2 linked regions of the Neodiprion lecontei genome follow. The protein of the gene in region 2 interacts with the protein of the main gene of each other region in a pairwise test. Links are inferred from orthologs where the notes say so. Each region holds a gene or a part of one and is shown on either strand. Other genes may lie near its edges. The genes, in order: REPTOR-binding partner and protein giant-like.

Region 1 (12,796 bases), on a different chromosome or scaffold from region 2:
ACAGGAAGGTTTAACCGTGTTTTCGCTTATCTTTTGCCAATCACAATGCGTATATGTTTTATAAAATTGTCCAATTCTTATGGGAACAATCATACTTTTATATCGTCCAAAAATTAACGCATTGGCCGTGTGTGACGGAGATTCCGAATTACCAAGTGCCGCATCTCACTACATCAACCGAATAATAAAATATTGAGCCATTGATGTTGAAAAATACACTGCGGACGAAATTTCGATAATTAATTCGTTTGAGAACAAAATTCATAGTCAACCACGATCAGGTAGGTAGACCAATTTGTATTGCACTGCATGTTATAAATTCAAAATAGGGTTGACAAATCCCGTACATTTGTCAACGTCCGATTGTGATTTTTAATTATTTCCTGCGAATTTTACTGTTCGTACTCTATAAATTCAAAACTGACCTCATCAAGAGAAAATCTGGCTTCCTATAAGTAGACCGAAAAATCAATACGGAGTTGTACAAAGAAAGAATTGGAAAGAATAACGCATTAAAAATGATAATAATCATGTTAACGAACACCCGGCTCATAGCAGACACACGTTTATCCGGTATTTGCGTAGGTTATTCACCATTGATAGTGAAGACGAAGTTAGTCACGTTACTCCAACAATGCATGTTTGGCAAAAATCGTAACTTCGCGCCTTGAGATCGTCCGAAATTTGGTAAGCCATTATAAACAAATTACACTCATAATTTTGAAAGCTAACTTCTTGAAGGTCATTCAGAAATTACACGGCAATGATTTTTTCTTCATGTTTCGTTATCTTAACGTTACTGACTTCAACGCTGTCCATACACGTACATGTATGGATAATGTAGGTATACTAGCACCTAACTCAAGCTGTACACACGTAAAGTGCCGCACATAGCTCAGCTACGTTACGGAACGTGACCGGCTACGATAACAACAAACATAACGAATAGTAAAATAAGCGGTGCATGTACTTGTAATATGTTATACATCATTATACAATACTCGACAAGTATAATTTTATCCGTAGTGAAAATAAGATTTGCTTTTTGGTATGCAACGGTAGGAAGTGAAGTATAAAATGTTTTTTTCACATTCAATGGTTTGAAAAACGTTAACGGTAAATAAAAAATAACTGAGGGCTGTGATTCGAGAAACCGAATGCTTATTGCACGTTGGACGTAATACGAAAACTGTAAACCTACAAACATGTCGCAGTTGTTATCAAAACGGTTGATGAGATAAGAAAATCAATGTCAACCGACCGACAAATTTCTTTTGGTAACCATCCCAAATTAAAGCTGAGGTGGTTGTACAAAAAGAGGCCACACTATGGGGAAATTTTACTCGTAAAATAACTAAAGTCATTACGCATTTAAGATAAACGTACGGAAAATGAATTTGTTGAATTTACCAAATATAGCAAGGGAATTTTCTTTTTTTTTTTTTCTTGATTCTAAAAAATGTCATTTGATCCAGGAAAAAGGGGTTCTGTTCATCAAGTGAAGCCACATTCATTCAAATGAAAAAAAAAATTTATTCCATTCGATCACCGTTCTTGTTATAACTCCAATAAAAATTTGTTTAGAGAAATACGAAAGAAATTCAGTACTTTGTTATTACCTATATGGAGTACTCGACAAGTGTTATTATTTACTCAATATCGTTGTGCGCTCTTCTTTCTACCACCTGGATGAACCTATTATGCAACGAAAAACTGCATACCGACATCTATCGCGTCCGCTGTCGGTGCTGCGTTGAACGAGCGATTATAGAATAAATTTTAAATCAGGTCAGGGACGTCGCGGTGGGGCGGATTTAAGCAGCGCGTAGATACCGTAAACGGATTTGTCCAAGCCAGTGCGTCTCACGATCTACGCAGAGAGCAGGGGATTTAGCCTGCTAAGGAATAACACAAACCATAAATGAAACTCGTCTCCGACCCAGTTTTAGGCCGAGTCAGAGACTCGCAAACGTCGAGAGGCAATTGCCCGCGGATTTATCGCTCGCAAAGTGAAAGAAAAGCAAAGAAGAAAAAAGCAAAAAGAAAAGCTCTGAGGAGGGCGAGGGTTATTGACAGCGTCAGTTAAGGGGCCGGTGCCCTCGAGATGGGCGCTGCACGATCGCAGGAGCGTAACGATTCGGTTGAGAATCGAAGCCACCCTCGGGGGCGCCCGTCACCCTCAGGGTTACCCCCTGCTGCATCACGAACGCCGCCGCTCTAAGTTACGAGTTGTGCGGTAAAAAGAAAAGACTTACCAATGCTCCGCGTCGTACCGAGGCTCGCCAACTGCGCAGTTGAAACGAAAGGCTAGAGCGAGAACCACCGTTGACGGAAGCCGGCAGAAACGGTTGCGACCGTCGCGCGCTCTAACGTCGAAATGCGCGCGTGTAGACACGCGTGTTCACGCAATAACCGCCGTGCCACGACGCCGCCCGCGAGGAAAGCGGGAAGCGATTCGAACGGCGTTCGAATTTTCTACCGAATCCAGGGAAACTAACCGACGCGGCGCTCGATAATCTGCTTTATCTTGTAACGATTCCTGCTATTCTTTTTCGAATGTATTTTACGTGTGCAAGCGCAGATGCATTTTGGCAGCCGGGCAACGGCTGCTCTGGAAAAACTTGTCGCTTTGATTAGCCCCGTTCACTTTAAAGTTACAATATTAGCATAGAATGTCTTTATTTGAGTAAAGAAACACTGTTTGGACGATATTGAGATGTTTTGAACGTGTTTCTGATATTGAGTTTGTTTTTTCTTTTCTCTCTTCGTAATTTTTGTTTTCCTCGCAAAGCGAGAATAATTCTAAAAAATGTTACCCCCGATTTCATATGCTTGACGGTTATTTAATAGACGGTGTAATTTCGAGAAAATCGTAAAAAACGAATATCGAGGTTGTACACTATGGTGTATAAGAATTAATGGGTTAAACTATGTGAAGAACCTTTTTTGGGTGTTTTCAAATAAACCCGCTAAAATTTACTTTTATGCTAATTTAGGGGAATACAAATTTTTCAGGATTTATAGTTTTTTCGCAACGATGTTAAATCAAAATAGTAAAGCGAGGTAGTAGACACTAATTTTTTGGTCAATAGTATATTGTTAAAAAGGGTGAAATCACCCGTTTTGTCCCCTTTTAAATGATCTAGTAGTCATCATAGATAAAAGACGTTTATAAACCTCTTATGTCTTTAAAAAGAATAAGGTTGCTGCGTCAACCGACATTATTGTAAAAAGCAGTCAATCTCTAGACTTTAAAAAGAGAACTTCGTGTCCAAATACATCTATTTTCTTTCTAAAATATTCCTTGTTCGTGAGACTTCTTTGGCTCGGCGTTCGCTTAAATCGCACAGAGAACTCTTTGGCTCGGCGTTCGCTTAAATCGCACAGAGAACTCTTTGATTCTCTTAGTCCTTTCTTAATTTTCCCCGTTGTTACAATATTAATCGCATTCATATTAAATTGAAAAAAATTACCCAAGAATTATTTTCAAGTCTGATTTTTAACTAATCAATCAATAAGGTTGTCTATTTATTTGAAAATAATTAATTTTTATCAATCTCATCAACACTTTCGTGATTGAACTGCGCATTTATGAGACAAAGATTCCGATAATTGTTCTAATGTCGGAGCATTAATTCAAATTTGATCGCATTCAGTAAATTTGCTAACAATTCATAACAGATAGAAACATTTTAATTAGATTAACAATAATTTGGACTGCGTTGAGGCGTATTTCAAAAAGAATTCTTCGAAGGATATTTTTAATTTAAAAATTGACTAACATTTGAGATTGGAAAACGTTTATTATCAGACAAAATTCATTATTACCAACACATTTTTACTCAAAAACGATTAGATATAAAAAAAATATTCATTTGTAGTAGTTCGCCAAGTTTGATGCAATCATATTTATTAACTTTATACTTCCTTCTCTTTCAATACACATCGAACGTGACTATAATTCATGACACAATGAAGCTAACGTACTGTTACTGAATACTGAAAATTCGAGAAATCGAACTTCTAAATTACCATAAAATTTATTTTTAAAAGTATCACCATAGTACCCAATTCACACTGACATATAGCGTCGTATCCTGTTCTTTGGCTACGCGCGTCACGTACAAAATTGCGTTGCAGTTGCATGCATTTGAGCAAGATGAATGCATCAAAATCGATAGACCTGCATGACATACATAATGTACGGACACGAGCTGTTCGGCAGATTATCAGTGACTATCGGCAATCTCTACGAGGCCTATATTGAGTCGTCTCCATTATTGTTTCATTCTATTTTACGCAGTTTTATTCATAGCCACATTCATCGAGTACGATACTGAAAATTCGTGTTCTGATTTCATTATAAACTGTACCTTCAGATTTTGAAAAATCTAAAACTACATGTGGGTTTCAATCCTTTTTATGAAATGAGAAAATAAACCCAAAATTCCTATCGACATAAAAAATCATATGATGGTAAATAGAATGTAATAATTATCAACACTTCTTGATGTCAGAAGTCAACGATCCCATTATTCCAACACTATTTTAAAGCTGACCGCCTTTCTACAAAAATGTTATACGCAGATAAAGAAACCCGAGTCTTATCTGTTCTCGTTCTATAATTAGAATAGTAACATGCGTCTATGGGTAGAACGAAATAATATTTAGTTTCAAATGGTTTGAATTAATATTTTCAGTTCATACAATACCGTGCACTCGAATCACTCGTTCGTCTATTACTTTAGCTCTGAGTTTCAAGAGGAGCTGAAATATTTAATTGCAAGTTAGATCTAACGGAACTCATAAACAATGTAATTTGTCATCAATCAGAGTAAACCTGTTGTTGTGCGAATGAAGGAATCGTCAGAATGTTCGGCATTCTGACGGTCATAACATATAATTCCTGTACAACACGCTCATAGCTATCGATTCGGTATTTTACGCCTGTATCTGTCACGAACTTGACAAATAATAACTTGGAAAGGAATGAAGCGCCGCGAGCATCATCGTCCGATGAGTAAGTAATGAGCATACCAAACCACGTGACACTCTCACCTAAAATCACGTTGAAGTTAGCAACGGTACCGTAACGATTCGTGCGGAGGAAAAACCGATACCTCGCAATTTCAAACTGTTTGAAATTCAGTAAACCGTAATAAAACGAAATCTACTCGTATCTTGCAATTCTATTTCTTTCAAAATCATAGAAAGAACAAGAAAACAGTCATTTTTTTCTCCACGTTTCGCTACGACAAAGTTACTAACTTATACAGAATACAGAAATAACGAAGCGGTCCGCCAGCGACAACTATCGGCAAAAATGTAAATTTTATAGTTTGGCAAGTGGACGACAGGTGCTAGAATGCGCAAGGAGGAAGGGGCGGGAGAGAGGGAGGAGGGAGCCAGACGGATCTATGGAGCCAACCGACGAAAAACATCACCCCCCTGCATTTTCCCTCCGCCGCGCGTCACCCCTTACCTGACGTACGAAGTGACAGACACACGCCCTTTGTCTACACCGATTTGCTCGATACGAAAATACAGAAAAATAAGTTTGCGCGAGTTCGATTAACCTGTTTTTTAAGAAACGAATTGTACCGAAGGACAACTGTCGTCATTGATTAAATTAGGAGTTATTTTTGTTCCGGTTTGTGGTCTTTTTTTTTCTCCTGCTGATTTTTCGCAACTTTTTGCAATACATGCTGACCTGCTGTCAGCACGATGTTTAACTCTAACTACTCACCAACTCGTTTTCGACGGTGCACATACGTTCAACTTCCATTTTTCAAATCGCAGGTCCAAAAGTATTAGTTATTTGTCGCAAGATAAAACTTTATCACTTTTTGTCAACAGCCTATTGCTCTGGTTCCTTCAGACACTGGAGAGACAACGTGTGTATGTTTACAAACACCGCAAGGTCATGCAGCTGGTTCTCGGTCTTTCAGTCGAATACGTTACGTCATGCAGCGCTGCTGGCGGTTGACAAGAATGCTTACTACTTTATTCCATGACGCGCATTGATCACGTGGCTCCCGTGTCATCAAGCGTCGATAAATATCCATCCGTCTTTGTCTCTCTTACTTTCTTCCCACGTTTGATGCAGGGTGACACCATTCCCTAGAGTGTTTGCTATTTAGATCTCATAATAACGGACTTGTAGCAGTGAGAAACATCGTTGCGAGACCGCCTTGCGGTCGATCGGTAGACGCGCCGTCGATATTACCGACAGCTGCTTCGCAACCGCGTTTTAGGCATAACTGTTTCTTTTGCAACGTACATTCCGCCCTCGGTCTTTCAGGTATCTTGTCGTTAGCTCTCCAGCCGCTAGCGCTACCATGGTGGACTACAAGCAACTTAAATCGGAAAACTATAATCGGAAAAGTTGTTGCGAGCACGAACAAAGAAATGTACTAGGTTCTTTTATATTCTAAAGATCTACGAAGCATTTGCGATTATTCAAGTACACATTAGGTGCAGCGTTCACGTCCATTCTGTCATACAGCTTGTCAGCTTTCGTTCACTTTTTATAGGCATGATGATTGACCTGTCATTACTTTCAACATGCATTTAAGCACAACGACGCGTCAACTATCAAACTGACACCACAGACAGTACAGCGCAACGACGATGCCATCACGGGAAAACCCCTAAACTTAGGTATGAATTCGTACCCTAAACTCATAGATAATGCTAAATCCCCGTAAGAAAAAAGTTGAGGGTACGAATTTACACCCAAGTCGAGGGTTTTTTTTTCCGCGAGGGTGACAAAACACGGTTATATTCACATCTGTTACATTCATACACGTATAATAGTGATCAGAGATTAACGTGAACTTATTTTTGCTTTGCGTTTCAATGTGGAAACGAATCCTCAAAATTTTACATTACTTTCGACATCAATACTCAATTTATCGACGAACAAAACGTCTGATAACCCGGAATTTCGGGACACTCAAGTGAATGAAATTTCAAGCGATTCGTGGATATTTTTCGCTGATCAATGAAATGTTCGCAATGATTTGCATGGCGATTTCAAAAATGCGGTTATATTCTTTGAGCCAACTGTCAAACTGACATATCACACACCGACCAATCAGTGAATGTATAAAATGCCAACAATGTGCTCGATATATTTCAAGAACTTGGAGATTCGATCTTCACATTAACCTTTTAGGAGAGAACGCACTCGCGCGCCTCATTCGGCAACTTTTCATCGCAAGACGAATCTGAACGGGTTGGAAAAAACTGTAGAGATTGAGAAAATAGTATAAACTGAACGGTGAAATGGCACGCAAAGTTCCAGCGCTGACACAATCCGCAATTCTAGAAGAGGTTGTTCAGTATGAGGAGAATACGCTATAACTTCGAAACTGTGATAAGATAAAAATCTAATGGCGGAAGCCAAGAATTCTTGCTCCTCGAGACGGGTTCGCCGGGCAAAATGCGGTACCTGATAATTTTGTAGCAAAATAGAATAACTTTAGTCACCTGAGACTTCGCATTCTGTGTTCAAGAATCAGATATGATAGAACGGGACACAGTTTATATTTTATCCAAAAACTGCGTAAACCTTCTTCCAGTTTTAAGGGATCGTCTCAGTGTGAAATTTTCAAAAAATTGTTTTTTTTTTTTTGCATTATCGTATAGTATACACTGTTCTAAACATTCTCTCAAATTTTTAAATCGAAATTCAAATTATTACGGTCGCTACAGCGTTTCTTGTAGAAAGGGAACGGGTTTTCTACCTGCGCGAGTACTAAGGTGCTTAGGTTCTATAACCTTGCAGAATAAACTGTCCAAGCATTTCAGTTCGTTTTTGACATCCACCACGGATAGACGTACGAGAGAAACCCCCAAGAAAAAAATCAAGACCTGGCATCGCCGATTGATCGTAAGTAAACGATTTATATAAACTTTTCCAACTTCAATCTTTAAACGCGTTTTTCTCAGAATGGTGTTTTTCAAAACGGTTTCCACTCTCAAAGGAAGAGTTTTAAAGATATCTAGTTCCAATTTCGGGAGAACATTTTAAACGTCATTCTTTATCGCGCTATGGAAGCTTTTTTTTTTTGAAAACTTCCTATTTTTTTGACGAAAAACTGTCGAAAAAAAGGGCCACATTCGACACTTTTTGTTCAAACCGCCGCCATTTTGTCAAATTTGAAAAAAAAAAAAACCCTCCATAGCGCGATAGCGACTTTCCTACAGATCAATAATCTTTTTGAAATTTTTTTTTCAGATCAAAATTGCGGCCGTCATCGTGGAAACCGTGCAGCACCTTTTTTTTTCACGTGAAATTACAATAATTTATACAACAATGATGCACTCAATAAATAAACTTTAAAAAAATCATTTTGTATTCTTCATAAACGTATTTATTTATGAAAAAAAAACCGGACCGATTAGTTTATGTGAACATTAAAAAAAAAATTCGCGAAAATCAGTGATTTTTCGGAGTGTCACACTGAGACGATCCCTTAAGCCATTTTCGACCGTTTTATTGAAAATATTTACTTTTCACGCATATCGTAGGATATGTGATTTCAATCACGAGTAAACAAACGTTTGCCGGAAACGGAGTTTCAGTTTATTCAAATTTGTAATCATCAACGCAGTCTTACTATGGGCGGACTAAATTTCTATGATTGCTCACCTCGTAAAATATAACGAGGTAAAAACCATTACAAATAATCACTTATAAACCAAAAAATGTATCATGGTTCACCGCAGTTTTTGAACATTTCTATCAAACAATCGCGTTCGTCAGCATCAAAGCGGTTGCGAACAATCAGTGATTCAACAAAATTGAGCAGGGTTTCGATGACTATGATTTGTCTGTTCAAAGGACAACACGCACATCATTTGCCACGGACTTTTCAATAACGCGGATAGACCTTTTCCGAAGATACCAGAAAAAATCAAAATAAAATACGCTACAGCATATCAGAGCATCCAAAGTAATACGCAGACTGAATACTTAAAGATAATAAAGATGAAAAATTGAGAAATGTATCTAGCTGTTGCAACTAGGATACTCGTGCTGTTCATTACGATAACTATAGGACAAAGAACCTGCTGTTTTATAAGCGGCGCACAATGGCAAATAATCGCATCGATATACCCAGCTCTCGTTCCTGGCGTCCACGTATCTATTACTGGGTTGATAAAGAAATGCGAAAAATGTGCGTGTAAATTTGAAAACTTATGTCTATCGTTGGATGTCTATAATTTCGATATTTTCTGATATGGTTGATAATTTCTTAACAGCCAGTAATCCGTGTTCATGCAGCTGGAACACATGACGGAAATCAAAATTATCGATGACAAAACACTCAGCGACGAAGAGTTGGCAAACTGTTTTCGAAAACCGCTCACCGAGATTCCCGCAGAATCGGAGGACGAAGATATCGCCATTCAATTCAGATATCCGATTGAGAGTGTAATGGGAACAAATTTTAGATCCTCTTTGAATAATATCAAGCCGTGAGAGAACTAATAGACGCCTGAAAGTTGCGCAATCTTTATTGTCGACCTTTTTATAACAGAATCGCTAAAACACGTGCTTATAAACGTTACCCAAATGTGTTGTATTTCTTAAACTTTGGTCAACTTCTATTATCAGCGGACAAATTTACCTCTATTTTGTTCTCGCCCAGTTTGCTCCAGGAAGCTATTGGAATGGATTCGCGCAATCTTCATATCCACACAAAAGGCTTTGTCTATTCTCATGTTGTTAAAAATTCAATAAATAATATTTCATATCCACAAAAAATTTCACTTCTAATAAACAAACCGTTTTATTTTGACGATCGTGTAAATTTATATCATTCATTTGTTTACGAATAAGTTGAAATTCAGTCTCCTTTTTGGGAGTTCTATGATCTTTTCTTCGTCCGATTTCATGTGCTTATCTGATAAAGGGTAATGTAAATTTTCTTACATCACAAAATAAATGAATCATAAACAACGAAGACACGTCTGATCGTGAGGCCAATGCTCCAAATAGAACGACTAGCTAAAGAAAAGATTCATTTACCGAGCTAATTTTTGTCTATTTTCTAATTTTGTACCGCGCTACGAGAACAAACTTGAAGGACATCGCTTCGGGGTAACCTGATATCGCAACGCAGAGGTCACGGAGCGGATCAACAGCAATGTAGTCAGCTACAGAGGGCAGAATACCGCCATTTCGACTCCAGATGGAGGTCTACTCAAATTGAGTACGGGTCGTGCGTGAAGCACAACGAAGACCTCCAATTATCCAGACTTCTCGGCCAGGAGCCAACCCATCGAATATCGCCACTGCTGCCTGGACGCGTCGCCGATGGCGTACAGGACTGTGCTTCAAATCCACAACGAAGCCTCCCGTCGACGACTCTTATCAGCCTGGAGCTGAACCAGCTACAACGGTCCGCTATTCCTTCTTAAATTCTACGATACCGCAAGTGATGCCCTCACTTGGTCGAAGGACTGCAGCGTGCAACAAGCCCATCATAAGGAAGAGCGAACCACGTCACGTCAACCTGGTGGGTTCAGGATGGGAACCTCGCGTGTGAATCATCGCCACCAGGAAGCCTCGGTGCGGGTAAAAAATCAGTAAAACCAAAAATCAGAATGATCAGAATTCCGGACATAAATATATCGATAATTCACAATCGCGAAAGAACAAAGTGGTGAATCTTCATTAAGCCAGAAATAATGGAAATAGAATATAAAAGTATCGAAATTTAAAGTTGTAGAATTTAGAATACACAACTGGTGAAAATTCCGAAAGGCCATTAGCAGAATGAGGCAAATGCGATCGCTCGCAAACACAAATAAATAACTGGCTCCGTCGTTAATTTTTCGAATTCACCAGTTTTCAAATTTACATTCTTTCGACAAAATTCTCTCGTAGATTAATGATTTGCACATCCGCATCTCATTTATTAGACGGCATTGCTGGTCTTACGGGCTTTTCATCGGAAGCAAGGATTCGAAAAGGGTAAACATAAACATCTACACACTACAGTCTCCTTACATCGTGCATGCAGAGAAGAAATTCTTACTCACAAATAAATAACATACATTCTTACATCGGGTGCTCAAGAGACGAAAACTTTCTATTCACAAACAAATAACCTTTGGATGGATCGTAAAGTAGAATTTTCATCTATTCGAATTTATAAATGCGAAGGATCAAGAATGAGAACGGTTAAAACTCCGAGCAGTAATCTCATAGAGGGCTCAGGATCTAGAATTGCAGTATATCAAAAGAGTCAGAATGAAGAATCACAATATATCAGAAGAGTCAATAACTCATATCATATTAGAAGCCAAGAAATATAAGTTTATGATACCATAAGTCGTATTGAATCTTTTAATAAGATAAAAATATTGCAGATAAAAAGATCCGCCCGATGCACCTGCTCAAAATTCGAGATTCTCGTACTCTTATCTGAATGTGAGTTGATCAGCTTGTTGCTGGCGACGTGAGCAGTTTGTAAGTCAACAAATAAAAACAGACACATCTTTGGCCACACTCTAAAGGTCTAACCCAACAGCTTTAATATCTCAAAGTTGTCCATTTGCATTGCGTACTTTCTTCTTTATTAAGTATTGAGTAAAGAATTTACTCGATTCTGTATATGTATAAAAAATATTATAAGTCAAATTAGATTAGTTGGATACTCAGAATGTGAAATTCTGGTGGCAAGTTGTTTTTGCTGGCGGTAAGTTGTCCCTTGCTTTCGGGATACTGATTTTTGTACGAATTGTACGATTCTGAATAATGACCCTTCGACATTCTGGATATCTGTTTTCTGCCGTTGCTATATGATGAAATTTCAAATTTAATTTTTTTTATCCATTTTCAACATCGTCACCGTCTTCTATATATATCTCTATATCTGACTTAAACAACCTTCCTCGTCTTAATTTTATTTTACATACTATTTTCTCCTTACTCATCGTTATATATTTTTATTTGTACATCTGTTTGCTATTTGTTATTTTTTTTTCAACTATCAGGCTAAGTTTGTTAGACCTGCGACGAGTAGTGTCCCTTTTATATTGTAACCCTATAAAAATGAATTCAAGAACGGGTGGAGAAATAAAAGAAAACAATCGAAGTTCCCAAAAATCATACATAGGCGAAGGTTATCCGTTGGCGATCTGCCGTAATTGTTGTAGTTTCATCACAGCTCGATTCATCCTCAGAATTGCAAGACTACTTCAATTTTTTCTTTCTTCTCCATGTCGTCGTTCTTGATGTTCCTGCATACGTTCGTTGCATTATAAGCAAAATATAACACTTTTTTATCCACAGCACCACACTTTACGTTTTTCCTTGAGATCAATTGTTTGGTCATATTTACACGAATACGTCACAAGTGATTCAAATTTTAATATAATCTCAATCTTTCGAGCGGTCATGTATGTACATTGTACATGCATACGGGAGTTGAAAACTATATTCCCACACCGCACAGCCTTTCAAGCTCACAGTTGCTCAACATCGTATTGAAGTTAGTAACGTTATCGTAACGATTCGTGCTGAGTAAAAACCGTCATTTCGCGATCTTGGAATTGTTTGAAATTCAGTTGTGGCGGCTTCGCCTCACAAAAATTAAACAGAAAATTACAACCGGACGTGACAAATCCCAAAAATCCCAAATGCATTTAAAAATCCATATTTCTCCTAATCCTTAATTATTGCACCGCAATTATGAACTCCTAAGTACTTAAATGTATTCTCGTTTTTTTCTCTCAATACACTGTACTCTAGCCTTTACAACCGACGCCGCCGCGCGTC
Region 2 (12,081 bases):
AGGGGTAGAAGTGCGTGTAACGGGTTATGGTCAGCCGCACTAGCGCAGGGTAGAAATGTGGGTTATGTGGCCAAAAGAGCAGAAATCTGTATACATGGGAAAAAGATGAGGACCTCAATGGGGACGCCCGAGTTTTTCTATACCTCTGTGAGCCAGCCAGCTTTTACACGAGTCCGGTCGGAGAACTAAATTTGGCGTGATCGTGGCAAGCGACGTGATAAAAAGAATATCTTTATAACTTACTATTCCCTCCTTTCAGCACTTCCCGTAACTACCTGCGTATTTTATATATATATATATATATATATATATATATATAATACTCATATGTTTGCACATGCATTGCCGGGGTGGCGACAGAACGAAAAAACCGGGAATACCGGGAAAAGTCAGGGAATTACGATGGACCATAGGGAAAAATGTGCTTTTTTTTATAAATCGTTTTCAGAGTTCAGCTACGCTTCGTTAATTGAGCTAAGCTAACTTTTGGAAATGGTATTGTTCAATTTCTAATTATTTGCGTGGACGAAAGCAATACTATGTGTTCGTAGGTTCAGATTTATCTATTCGTGGTGTACAACTTCTGCAGCTTTTGGTCATAAAAGCTACCAAAGATTATCCAAGTTTCGTGGGAAAATGTATGGGAATTCTGATTTTTTTTACGGGAAAAGTCAGGGAATTTTATTCAAACAAAATTGTCACCGCCCTGACTGCGCTACAATTTTAGAATAATGTTATAATTGAATAACATATTATCGATACGGAGTTCGTCCGTGAATTAGAGATAATTCGGGGAAATTTTTTTTCCACAACTCTGCCGTGCGTGCTTATACGTGTCACTTATAATTGGGCGATTATAGATTTGCGTACGGCATACCTGTGTATAAATGTTTTCACAGTACCGTTTTCAATTGATAGTCCAGTCATTCTGTCTGAAAAAGAGACAAAAAAAATCAAAATGATGCCATTGGGTCAATTTAAATAAATCGTTTGTTCGTTAGGTAGTAATGAGATTTTCTTTTTCTATTACAACATCGTTCTTTCACATAATTCTCCTTCGAGGCAAAAAATGCCTTCGGGCATTCCACGCCAACTGTACCAACGTTGGGCTCTCACTATTTCTGATTTTGTTGGAAAATATTTTATGCGATTCTACCAGCTCCAAAATAGTACCCACAAGTTTTAACAAATTTTTTTAAAGTGTAAATTTGTATTACTCATGATTTTTAAAAACCAACCCGTGCTATGCCGTAATTTAAAAAACTGAAAGGATCTTCAAAAATCTTGTGTTGGATATAAAAATTTCTGCAGTGAGAACTTATTCGCCGCACACTGCTGGTTTCTACGTTGAAGTAGACTGCAAAGTTCGGTATGAGTGTAACATTTTCGAGGAAACGAAGATCCGCACAAAAAGGAGACTGAGGACAGGGAATCTATTTTTGACAATCGCCGGCCCATTGTGGGTCTGGGCTTAAAACTTTTGAAACGTCGAAATCTAGGGAAAGCGCAACTTTTCATTTCCGGGGTGATTATAATAAGTACCCTTGTCTTTTTTTTTTCTTCGAAAAAACAGCAGGAATATAGAAATGTGTAGGGTGGCAGTCCTGGTAGGTTCGGAATAAGAATACAAACTAAACTCAAAACTGCGTATAATCAGTGAGCTAAAATTTAAATTTAACCACACGAAATTATCACTCATCGACTCTCGAACAAGCCATTTTACACAATTCTCTAAGCACTGCTGTGTATTTTAGCGAACGTTCATTAAAATTTGTAACAAAAAATGCCAGAATATTGAATCGTAAGAATAACACTTTACCGAAACACCCTCAATATCGTCTTGCATGATTAATCGATCTTTTTCTGTATCCGCAAAGTTTATTTCACTATGAGGAGCTATTTATGAAGTCGATTACATTTAAATATACATACGTAAAAACAAACTCTGTACTTGGCGTGACATAACTTTATATGGTATGATGAGTTACGCTAAGCGTGGCCAATTATTGTTACTAACGAGCAATGGAAATCCCACGTAATTAGGTAGTTGGTTGCGCATATCGTTCGTCATCCTCACTCTCCTTCTTTGTGGAAACAAAACTGCAGCATTACGACTATTCTTTAACCTAAGAACCGATCGATTTCGATCATAACAGAGCAATAAATAAGGATTGATGCCGTTGGAGGGTTCGACGAAAGTCAAAATTTGTGGACGCTGCAGTAGCATGTAGACGCACGAGTTGTCGATATATATGTGTGAGTGTGTCTGTGTGCGTGTGTGTGTGTGTGTGAGGATTCGAACCTCGCATATGGGTTACAGAGAATATGTCGAAACCATTAATATCCGGTGACAGCATAGCGGGATTCCTAATTTCACAAAGAGATTTCGAAAATTTCTCTTACTCCAGAGAGTTTAACCCCTTCGACTAAATTTATGACGCTTTACGCAAATTCGGTTAGTCGTGCGCCGAAGAACTCCATAATACCTGAAATACTGTAACCATAAATCTGGGAGACAAAGTATTGAAATATTACAGAAGTAGCCAAAGGGTTTGCGCCGTAAGAGCTTCGGCACTGGGTTTCTTGTGGCCGCTGCTGTTGCAGGAGTTTGTACTTACTGAATTTCCGATCACCTACAACTAAACTTAACCCTCGGTAAGATATTAACAAAATTTTCAACTTAACCCGTATACTTGGTAGACTTTCATGCCTGAAACTTTCTCGTTTCACAGGCAGAATTAACCTTCGTATAACTAACTGGATTTTCAAAAATCGTGCATGGCTTTACACCGTGGGACGTCTCCTTAGGATTACCCGGAGTCCTGCCGTTACATTTGCGTGTACCGTTTTAAATCTAATTCGCTTATGTCAGCAAGAGTTGCACGGCACGAATCCGCTGGTGCTTAAATTCTAAAAACATCCCCATTCTTAGACATTCCAAGTTCGAGTACTTTGCGCCATTATTTGTGAAAATAAAGATAATCCAATGTTTAGTTTAGCCTATTTTCATGCCTACGCACAGCAGAAATTGTCCCCACAGCGTTGATACTGAACGCAGCTAACTCTGGTATGTACTTGAGGTTTCGATCGATCAAGCTTCATCGAAAAGTATTCCGATAATAGGTATATAGGTCTGTTCAATATTCAAACATAATATCGCAATTTAATTAGGTTCTGTTCATCCGTCATGAGAACTAGTATTATCGAGATCCAACAATGACCGCAATTCAAATATTATGATCAAGTTTAATCGATAGACGATCTTCCACTTTGAGATTATTCATCACGATAATCACTTTTGCTAAAAGTAATACAAATTTGATACGCCTTGATGAATCACGGTAAAATCATACTGCAAGTAAACATCGTCTCATTTGCGAATTCCTCCGCTGGTTGTAGAACGGGATGAATACAAAATTCACATATCGATGCAATATATCGAACATACGTTTTAATATTTCCTTGGCGAGCCTAAGTTCACCAAAATATGAAAAAATTATAGCGTATTGCAAAGAAAACAAATGGTAAATCCGGTTGACATTGATGAGACAGCCTGTAAAAACTTTCCGCTTGAATGCGTTTCCGGTAAAATCTGGTTTTTTTTCTATTGACGTTTAAATAACTCGAAAGCTACTAATTCGATCGGTTCCGAATTTTCATCAGTTCCAAATTGAAAAAAGCCCCGTCGATTGAGATCAACATCGTAAAAATTCATTCATCGATTTTGCAATATCGGTGGATACAAAATTGATCACACGCACACACAGCTCGTACCTAGACCTCTGAGCGAGCGTCCGTTCAGCGGAGGTGTTTTTCTAAACCTTAAAACGACGAGATCTAGTGAAAACTCAACTTTTCAGTTTCGGGGTCATGGTGATAACTTGGCGGAAAAAGGGGGAGCGGAATGTTTACAAGTAAACAGGTCTTGTACCTCAATTAACGATGCTCATCGTTTACTTGTACGTCAAGTTAACTATGTTAAACTCTGTTGAACTCGTAAATCTGTTTTTAACGTAATTCATTTCGTGGATAATATGTCATAAGTATCTGATCGGAGAAAGTAGATTGTTCACGTATTACTCAAATGGAAAATATTCGAACGCATTGCGGCACCTGTTAATCGTGATACGAGGAGTTAGACTTGATCTAGGTTAATTGTTTTATGCAGAGCAAAACCATCTGGGAGCTCAAAAATAAAAAAACAACACACTTTGTGCAGCTTTTCTTGTTTGTACATAAAAAGTTTCAAAAATGTTGGTGAACTTGATTCTATGTGTGAAATGTGACCTTCAACATTTACCAGGACGTTAGATACAAACCACCTTATTTCGAATTTTGGCGAAAGCCGACGTAACGAGGCTACGCGTACGCGTGCCGAGGGTCAGCCTCCCACCACCTCCACCTGAGACCCCAATTCGACGGTCACTCGAAAGTTCCCCCACTCCTGGGCCTGTCCACCCTCTCCAGCAGACCCTGCAAGGGTGGTTGCGACGTATAAAAGCGAAAGTACACCCTTTGGAGTCACAACTGATTTCCTTGGTCGTCGAATGACCATCGAAAATTTTCATCGCTTCCTGCGAAATCTTCGCGTCCTCGGTTATTCGGATATTTCTCGTGTTGGACAAACATACTTGGTGATCAGTGTTGTGATACGTATCAGTGATAACTGTGCAACCTTGGATTTCTCTTGTTAGGTAAGAATGAGTATAAGGAATTCAGTGCATCGGTTATTGATAAATAAAATTAATAATAGATACGATAAAGGATACGATATTTTGTTTTTTTTTTCTCTCTACTCGCGCGTATTAACTGCAGCGTGCAAATTTTTCCAAACACGAAATCCCGCGAGTTGTGTTCCGTCGAGATAAAGTGTTTGATAAATTATTCAAATTGGCTTTAGATTGGATTGATTGAGTCATAGTGATAATTATGCCAACTCTATCTGCGCCAAGTACTGCGTTGCCGGATGATTGAGCTATTCAGGATCTGCATTTCGTAGGTCGTATCACACTATTTCGAACCGCGCTTTAGGAGAATTGATTCTTCGATGACTGACAGTTGATTTGAATTCACGTTTCACTAAATGTCATCAACTTTCGTAACTGAACATACGGCCGACAGTATGGACCATAAAAATTCTCTGTTATTATTAATTTAAAGTTTGAATAGCAAGGTGAAGAGTTAGGCGTTTGATGTTGAACGTGGTGAAATAGTGAAAGCAATTTTCCAAATAGCCACGGTAAAACACGGTTCAAATAGTGATTCGAAGAAGAAAAATCGAAATAATTAGCCCAATTGACTCTTGATAACTGAGATTTTCGGCTTTCAAATTTGTCCGGAGCGATCGAAATTATATTATCTTACTTGTACGGAAGACAGATTTAAAGTGTGTTTTTACTGAGATTGCAGTTAAGAATTGTATTTTTTTTTTAATTCAACAACATCAAGGCAATGTTATTCTCAAGTTCAGATCGACGACAAAAAATGTGTTCTAAAAGAAAGTCATTAAAAATATAAATATTTTCTTCAACGTGAGATCTACTAAACTAGTTACATCGTTTTCTGCACGTAATATAATTAACATTTCTGCGCTACTTCCGTCAACAACTTTACTTTGTAGTTTTTCTCATCACTAGTGCTTAAACGTCACATTTTTGTTTTCAAAAGTCTACTTTAAAGCACTAGTGCTAATAAAAACTACAAAGTAGTCAAGTTGTTGGAGGTGGCGCAGAAGGGCTTGTTACATTGCACTGTAGTTTTTACGAGCACTAGGGCTTAGGAGTTGACTTTTTTGTTTTTGAAAGTCGACTTTTAAGCATTAATGCTAATCAAACCTATACGATATTTTCGTTTTCGACAAGAGGTAGAACAGCAAATACGATTTGTGGCTTGTTCGCATATAGGGCGTTAAAGGGCATATACCTTAGGGTGGGCCAAAAAAATCGACTATTTTTTTTTTCACTTTGTACTCCGAAAACTTGGTTGGTAGAGACCTCAAAAACATTCTCTCCAAGTATGAGCTCTTAATTTAAATAGGAAGGTCCTCCGCCTCGCAGTTTTCTATTTTGTTCTTATGGCGAGGAAGAAAAATACATATCTCGGTATCTACTATTTATAAAAAAAAAATGTATATCATATTTTCGTAGGAAATTGAATTCTCTACAAAAAAGGTCTCTTACAATTTTTTTGTATACCTCACTGTTCAGAAGATATTCACCGTCAAACTTCAATGCACACTATTTTTAACAGTGCCGTTAGTTGCACAAGCCAAACAGACGAAGCGATAGGATTTAAAACAAAAATCCTCTCGAGCAAAACATTTTATGTATAATTTTTGAAAAAAGTTTTAAAATGTTCTCTAAAAAAACGCCATAAAAATAATTAGGAGCATGATTGGGATTTCAAAATATTGAACAAAAAAATTTGTAAAAATACTAAAAAAATGGTAAATTACGAGAAGTTTTTGAAACAGAGAACTTCTATAATAGTTACTTCGACGACAGAAACTGAAATTTGTACAAATTTTCCCAAAACTCACGAATTAAATTGAAATTGTTTGAATTATTAACAAAAAACTGTTAAAAATAGTGTGCATTGAAATTTGACGGTGAATATCTTCTGAACAGTAAGGTATACAAAAAAAATTGTAAGAGACCTTTTTTGTAGAGAATTCAATTTCCTACGAAAATGTGATACTCATTTTTTTTTTATAAATAGTAGATACTGAAATATGTATTTTTCTTCCTCACCATGAGAAAAAAATAGAAAACTGCGAGACGGAGAACCTTCCTATTAAAATTAAGAGCTCATACTTGGAGAGAATGTTTTTGAGGTCTCTAACAACCAAGTTTTCGGAGTACAAAGTGAAAAAAAAAAATAGTCGATTTTTTTGGCCCACCCTAATATACCTACTCACCTTCTATTCGTGCGACACTTTAGACTCGCCAAAAAATTGCTATTTCACGCGCTCTTGCGACGAAAATTATTATTTCCTCATCACTTCCAGGCATAACGGGCGTATCAATGGACACAACGATCCCCCTCGATGTGGAAAGTATTCAGCCGCTGGATTACACAGCAACGCAGAGCACGAACGAACCGAAAACAGAATCGGACTCAGCCTACGAAGTACCGGTGTTGGACTTATCCTGTAGACGTGACTCATCTCAGAAGTCACTCTCACACTCGTTACAAAATACGGTGCACGAGTCAGAGGAGGAAAAGTGCAGTTCTAAAATTTACGTAGACGATGAAAGGAAAAGCCCGTCGGAGGGTCGCTCGTACATGGTGACACCTCCGTCGGAGGGCGACTCGCCGACAAAAGCTCGGTATGAACCGATATATAACCAGATAAACTCAACTACGAGCGATTTGCCGATGCCGATATACCCGGTCCTCGGTCTAAACGCAGCAGTGACTCTCGCGAGCACGCAAAGTGCCCTGCAAACCAATTTGCACAATGCGATAAGCCAGGGTTATCACATTTCGAGACGTCGGTCAATGAGCGCCGCTGAATTGAAGCACTTGGATAACCAGATGTACGGTTTGTCCGTAACGCACGCCGCGCCGGTCACGCCGGCTCAGAGTCCGCAGGAATTAGGTAAGAAACTAGCGAGACCATTCAAAGCGTATCCGAAGGATCCGCTAACTCTGAACGCCAGAAAGGCAGAGCTGGCCGTCGATCCGACAGCGAACGAGGCGTATAGCGAGTTCAGGAAGCGGATGCTGGAATCCGTTAAAAAGACGAACGAGGGGACGAACATTAAAATGAGGAGGACAACCAAAAGCCCGGGTCTACCCACCAGCACCATGGATGACAAGGACGCTGCATACTGGGAAAGAAGAAGGAAGAATAACGAAGCTGCGAAGAGGTCCAGAGACGCTAGGAGAGCGAAGGAGGATGAAATCGCCATCCGCGCTGCCTTTCTGGAGCAGGAAAACATTAAACTTAAGGTCGAATTGGTCGCGCTTAGGAATGAAACTGCGAAACTCAGGTGCATGGTATACTCGAGTTAAAAAATATCCGACCGATATTTTTTATCCAAGATTTATGTAGGAGATCTGCATTTGAGAAGGCAATGCTGGCATGCCTGACGTCTGGCAGGATTCATTTGATAATTAGTAAAATTGGTTTCTATCGCTTTTGTTCACCCATGTTTTCACCTCTGCTCTAAAGTAAAGAAAGTTGAGCTACAGACTTTTGAACCTTAACGACGCTCTGAAATAATCTCTTTGGAACCATAGAAATAATGTAGATACGATATGTTCACCACATTTTTTGCAAACGAATGTAATAAATTTTTTCCTCTCGCTATTACATTTCTGACAATTCGTCATCAATTTGCATTTAAAGTACCATATTTATAGAATACTCTTACCGAACTCCGAGCACAGTTTTCATAACTATAGCTCTCTGTGGCAACTTCCGTTTTGAGTGCACTTGAAGACGATGAACATTACACAAATCCTGAACTTTACCTAGTTATACTACAAGAATCATAAATTGTTGTAAGAGAAGCATATTATTCACAAGTTACTGCAGACACTGTGGTCTTTTCAAATTACTCGCTTCAGAGATTTACAGACAGTCCTGACTAGTAATAAAATTTTCAGTACCACATGTTAGAGTAACTTATAAAGTAATGCGTCTTGTGTTCGATGTAATCAATAAATACAATGGAAATTGGCTTAACATGTACACGATATCGAAATATTTTTATTCAACACTGTGTATCCATTTGTTCACAAAATGCTTCACCTCACAATTTATTGTCAAATTTGATTGTAGGAATTGACACTTCAAGTATAAATGTATGTTAATAAATTCTTAAAAGCGATAAAATCGTAAGAATTAAAAAATAATCGCCTCTACATAATAATTGACAGATGACACACAAGTTCGTCACTGGCATAGTCAGTATATTGTTAAGTATAAATTTAAGAATCGATACAGTGTAAATATAAATTATAGAATTGGCCTAAAAGAATGAAGTGAGTCATATTGCTGTGCAAGAGTTCAAAAATTCTCTGTTATAAAGATAAATACAGTTGCCATATATAATATGCTATATTTATAATAAAGATACAAACATTTTTTGTCAACTAGAACAGATATACAATTTATTCGGTCATTTTCCTTCAATAAAATTTCCATTACGTATTTAATCGTATGATAACGATAAAAACGAATGACAAGTTTTGCTGATTCATAGACTATAGTTGAAACCGATAGTTCATTTTACGAAAAATATATCAATAGGTAAGAATTCTTTACAATTCTCTGTCCGCACCACCTTGAAGAGTAAAAATAAAGTTTTGGAGATTTTAATCATTGTGGTAGAGTATCAGCCAATTCCATCATGCATCCGTTATTTAATACATCCCTGTGTGAATTACTCTGCTTTGAAAGCACTTTTGAATAGGACGACACCTGCCTAGGAACAAAGGATAAAGAGGATGCCTTATTTGGTGACGCAACATTTACCATGGAACTTAAAGTCCCTATTATGGGAACATTTTTAGACGATATTTCTTTATCACTGGGACGAAATGTTCTACACTTTTGATTCTTATTTAAACGAGGAATGTTTTTCTGCAACTTGGTGGATCGCGGTTCTTTATCAACTTCCATTTGATCCTCAGAATCCCCTCTGCCCTTCCGCCAATTTCCTTCGTCAAAACGAAAGTGTTTGGGATATTTGTGCACTGTTGTACAGTGTTCTCGTCTATCCGCCAGAGTTTTGAACTTCATTTCGCACTCGGATACGTAACATTGATACTGAAATAATAATTATGTACTTACAACTCTCAAAATGCATCATAATAATCATCTCACTATCAAATTTAAGGGGCACTTAGTTACAGGTAGCCTACCATCGGTTGCCGATCAGCCAAAACTCTGAAAAAACTGTCATGTGTTTCTTCTATGTGTATATCCAAAAGCCTGGCACTCGGTCTACACTTTTTGCACTCCAAGCAAATGTATCTATGCGATGCGTTATAATGCACCTCGAAATCAACAAGCGTCTGGAACGTAGCTGTGCACCCAGGTACATTGCACGTGAATTCTTTTACACTGAAATTAAATCTGTATCATCGAATGAACCAAGGGGTGAACAAAGGTGAAAAATCATAGATGTAAGGAATCTACCAAACCATATTACAATAACAAATAATAAGTCATCGTTATAAAATTTTAAACTTACGCTTCGTGGCACAATTCCTCGTCGTCGATAATTGTAACACCTTTTCTAACGAAAATTTTACACGTTTTATAAGTGTTTTCGAAGAACTTATCATGAGGTGCTCTCTGCCCGATTCCAATTTGCGTCAAAAAAGTTTCCATGGTTAAATCAATCGACTTCCGTGGCGTTTGGATAGCTTAGATATAGTTACTTTGTACTTTGTAGACCGGCAAGTGCCAATAACAATAATAAAACCGTACATAACCTCACATTTGTTCACAATTATTTTAGATTATATGCCCTTGGATCCTTAGCTAATTGCTGCTGAACTATATAACCGTAACCTACGATGAATCGAATCAAGGTCAAAATATTAAATTCGTCAGTGGTAGCACTAGCCGGTATCCATTTCCTTCAGTCCCTTTAATCCTTAAAGCATATACTTTCTAAGGTAGCTTCGCGTGTACGCAAGCCTCGTGCAACCAAGTTCGTTACTACACGCCGGTAAAAGAAGTTCTTCATACCCAATAACTATCGCGTGCAAACGTTGGCAACATACCGTCGTCATTGTGAAATTGAAATGTTGAGAAAATCTCGCAAAAGAAATATAACATGTACGCCGAAATTATACAACGGGAAAATATATGTCAGTCAAATACATGAACGTGTGTCGTTTAAATTTATCTGAATAGATGGAATCTTTTTTAGGCGACATGCAGTAGCATCTCTAAGATGCTCAATTTATTTGATCAAAGTTTTTGACAAAGTCAACTTTAAATTAAGCTGCAAATATTTTTTTAAACTTTGAACTACTTCATTTTTAGTTGCAATCGTTTCAGGAATGTGCCTATGAAGATATTGTTTTTTTTATTTGTTGACCACTTTTAAAATTATGAATTGAAAAAATTCAATATCCTAAGTATTGAAAATATACGAAAAATTCTGAAATACTTTTCTCTTTGCTATATGCACGTTGAAGATATGTAGAAGGTCGATCCTATTTTCTCGGTTTTTTCCAAATTTTGGAAGCGGTAATTGGGTTTTAATTGCGAAAAATTACGCAAGTGCTTGAATAAATATAAAAATGAATAATGAAAATGAATCTATCATGAGGCTCGTTGCAAATTAACTGGAATGAAGAATAAAAGTCTTATAGATTTACTTTAAATTTTGATAAGCTGTTAACATTGTGTTGCAGCAATACAAAGTTTTGGAAATGTGACGTCAACTAGCTAAAAAATAATTATTTCACCTTATGCATAATATTGACGTACTTGTCGAAACATATTTTTCTTCTCGATTGTAAATGCTAAATATTGACTATTGTCAATTCATGGTTCTTCAAAGTGTTAAAGAATACGGGATAAATGTTGTTCTCACAATGCAAATTTTGAAATGTTCAGAATTACATAAACGACATTATTGAAAAATCAACGAATGTTTTTCGGTAACTGATTTTCAAGGGGAATTGTCTGTCAATTCATTAAATCATGTTTCCGACGCAACATTATCCGTAAAGTCAATTTTTATCCTTTCGTGAAAGATACTCATAGTGTTTAGAGAGATAGCGATAGATACTGGATCATTAACGTGAGATCCGCGAATTAATTAATCACTGCAAGAATGCGTTTTAAATCTATGAGGACGACTCGAAATAGCGATTGACATGAATCTGCAACAAGCGCGAGATAATAGTACATTCACTTTAACTATTAAATCGCTACTACTTTGCCGAAATACATAGTAATAATATGCTATTCCGCATCGAAGGAATTTGAAGGGAGTGTATTTACACCTTGCACTGTTGCACATTCATTTAATTTCAAGTAATCAGAATTGACTATGTTGTTATATGCCCGAAAGGTGGAGTTGAAACAGTAGAGGAGGCTGTTCAAAG

Evidence for each region.
Region 1: the proteins of protein giant-like (region 2) and REPTOR-binding partner interact in a two-hybrid assay, tested with the Drosophila melanogaster proteins (2 studies listed by BioGRID, with this or other methods). The link is inferred for Neodiprion lecontei from reciprocal best matches to the Drosophila melanogaster genes gt and REPTOR-BP.

Annotation. Positions count from the first base shown.
Region 1 is NC_060260.1:12,366,271-12,379,066, reverse strand, and holds the start of REPTOR-binding partner, read right to left. Parts: upstream 5,941-12,796; 5' UTR 5,786-5,940; coding exon 5,747-5,785; intron 5,646-5,746; exon of another isoform or gene 5,339-5,645; intron 5,021-5,338; exon of another isoform or gene 4,872-5,020; intron 2,410-4,871; exon of another isoform or gene 2,256-2,409; intron 1-2,255. UniProt on the Drosophila melanogaster protein: Transcriptional regulator that acts in the TORC1 signaling pathway to regulate energy homeostasis and promote survival during nutrient deprivation.
Region 2 is NC_060263.1:21,611,979-21,624,059, reverse strand, and holds protein giant-like, read left to right. Parts: upstream 1-7,023; coding exon 7,024-8,016; 3' UTR 8,017-8,689; downstream 8,690-12,081. Other genes in the region: zinc finger protein 511, read right to left, coding at 9,329-9,778, 9,874-10,075, 10,206-10,345. UniProt on the Drosophila melanogaster protein: Represses the expression of both the krueppel and knirps segmentation gap genes. Binds, in vitro, to the krueppel regulatory elements CD1 and CD2. It is required in the early embryo for the development of portions of the head and abdomen.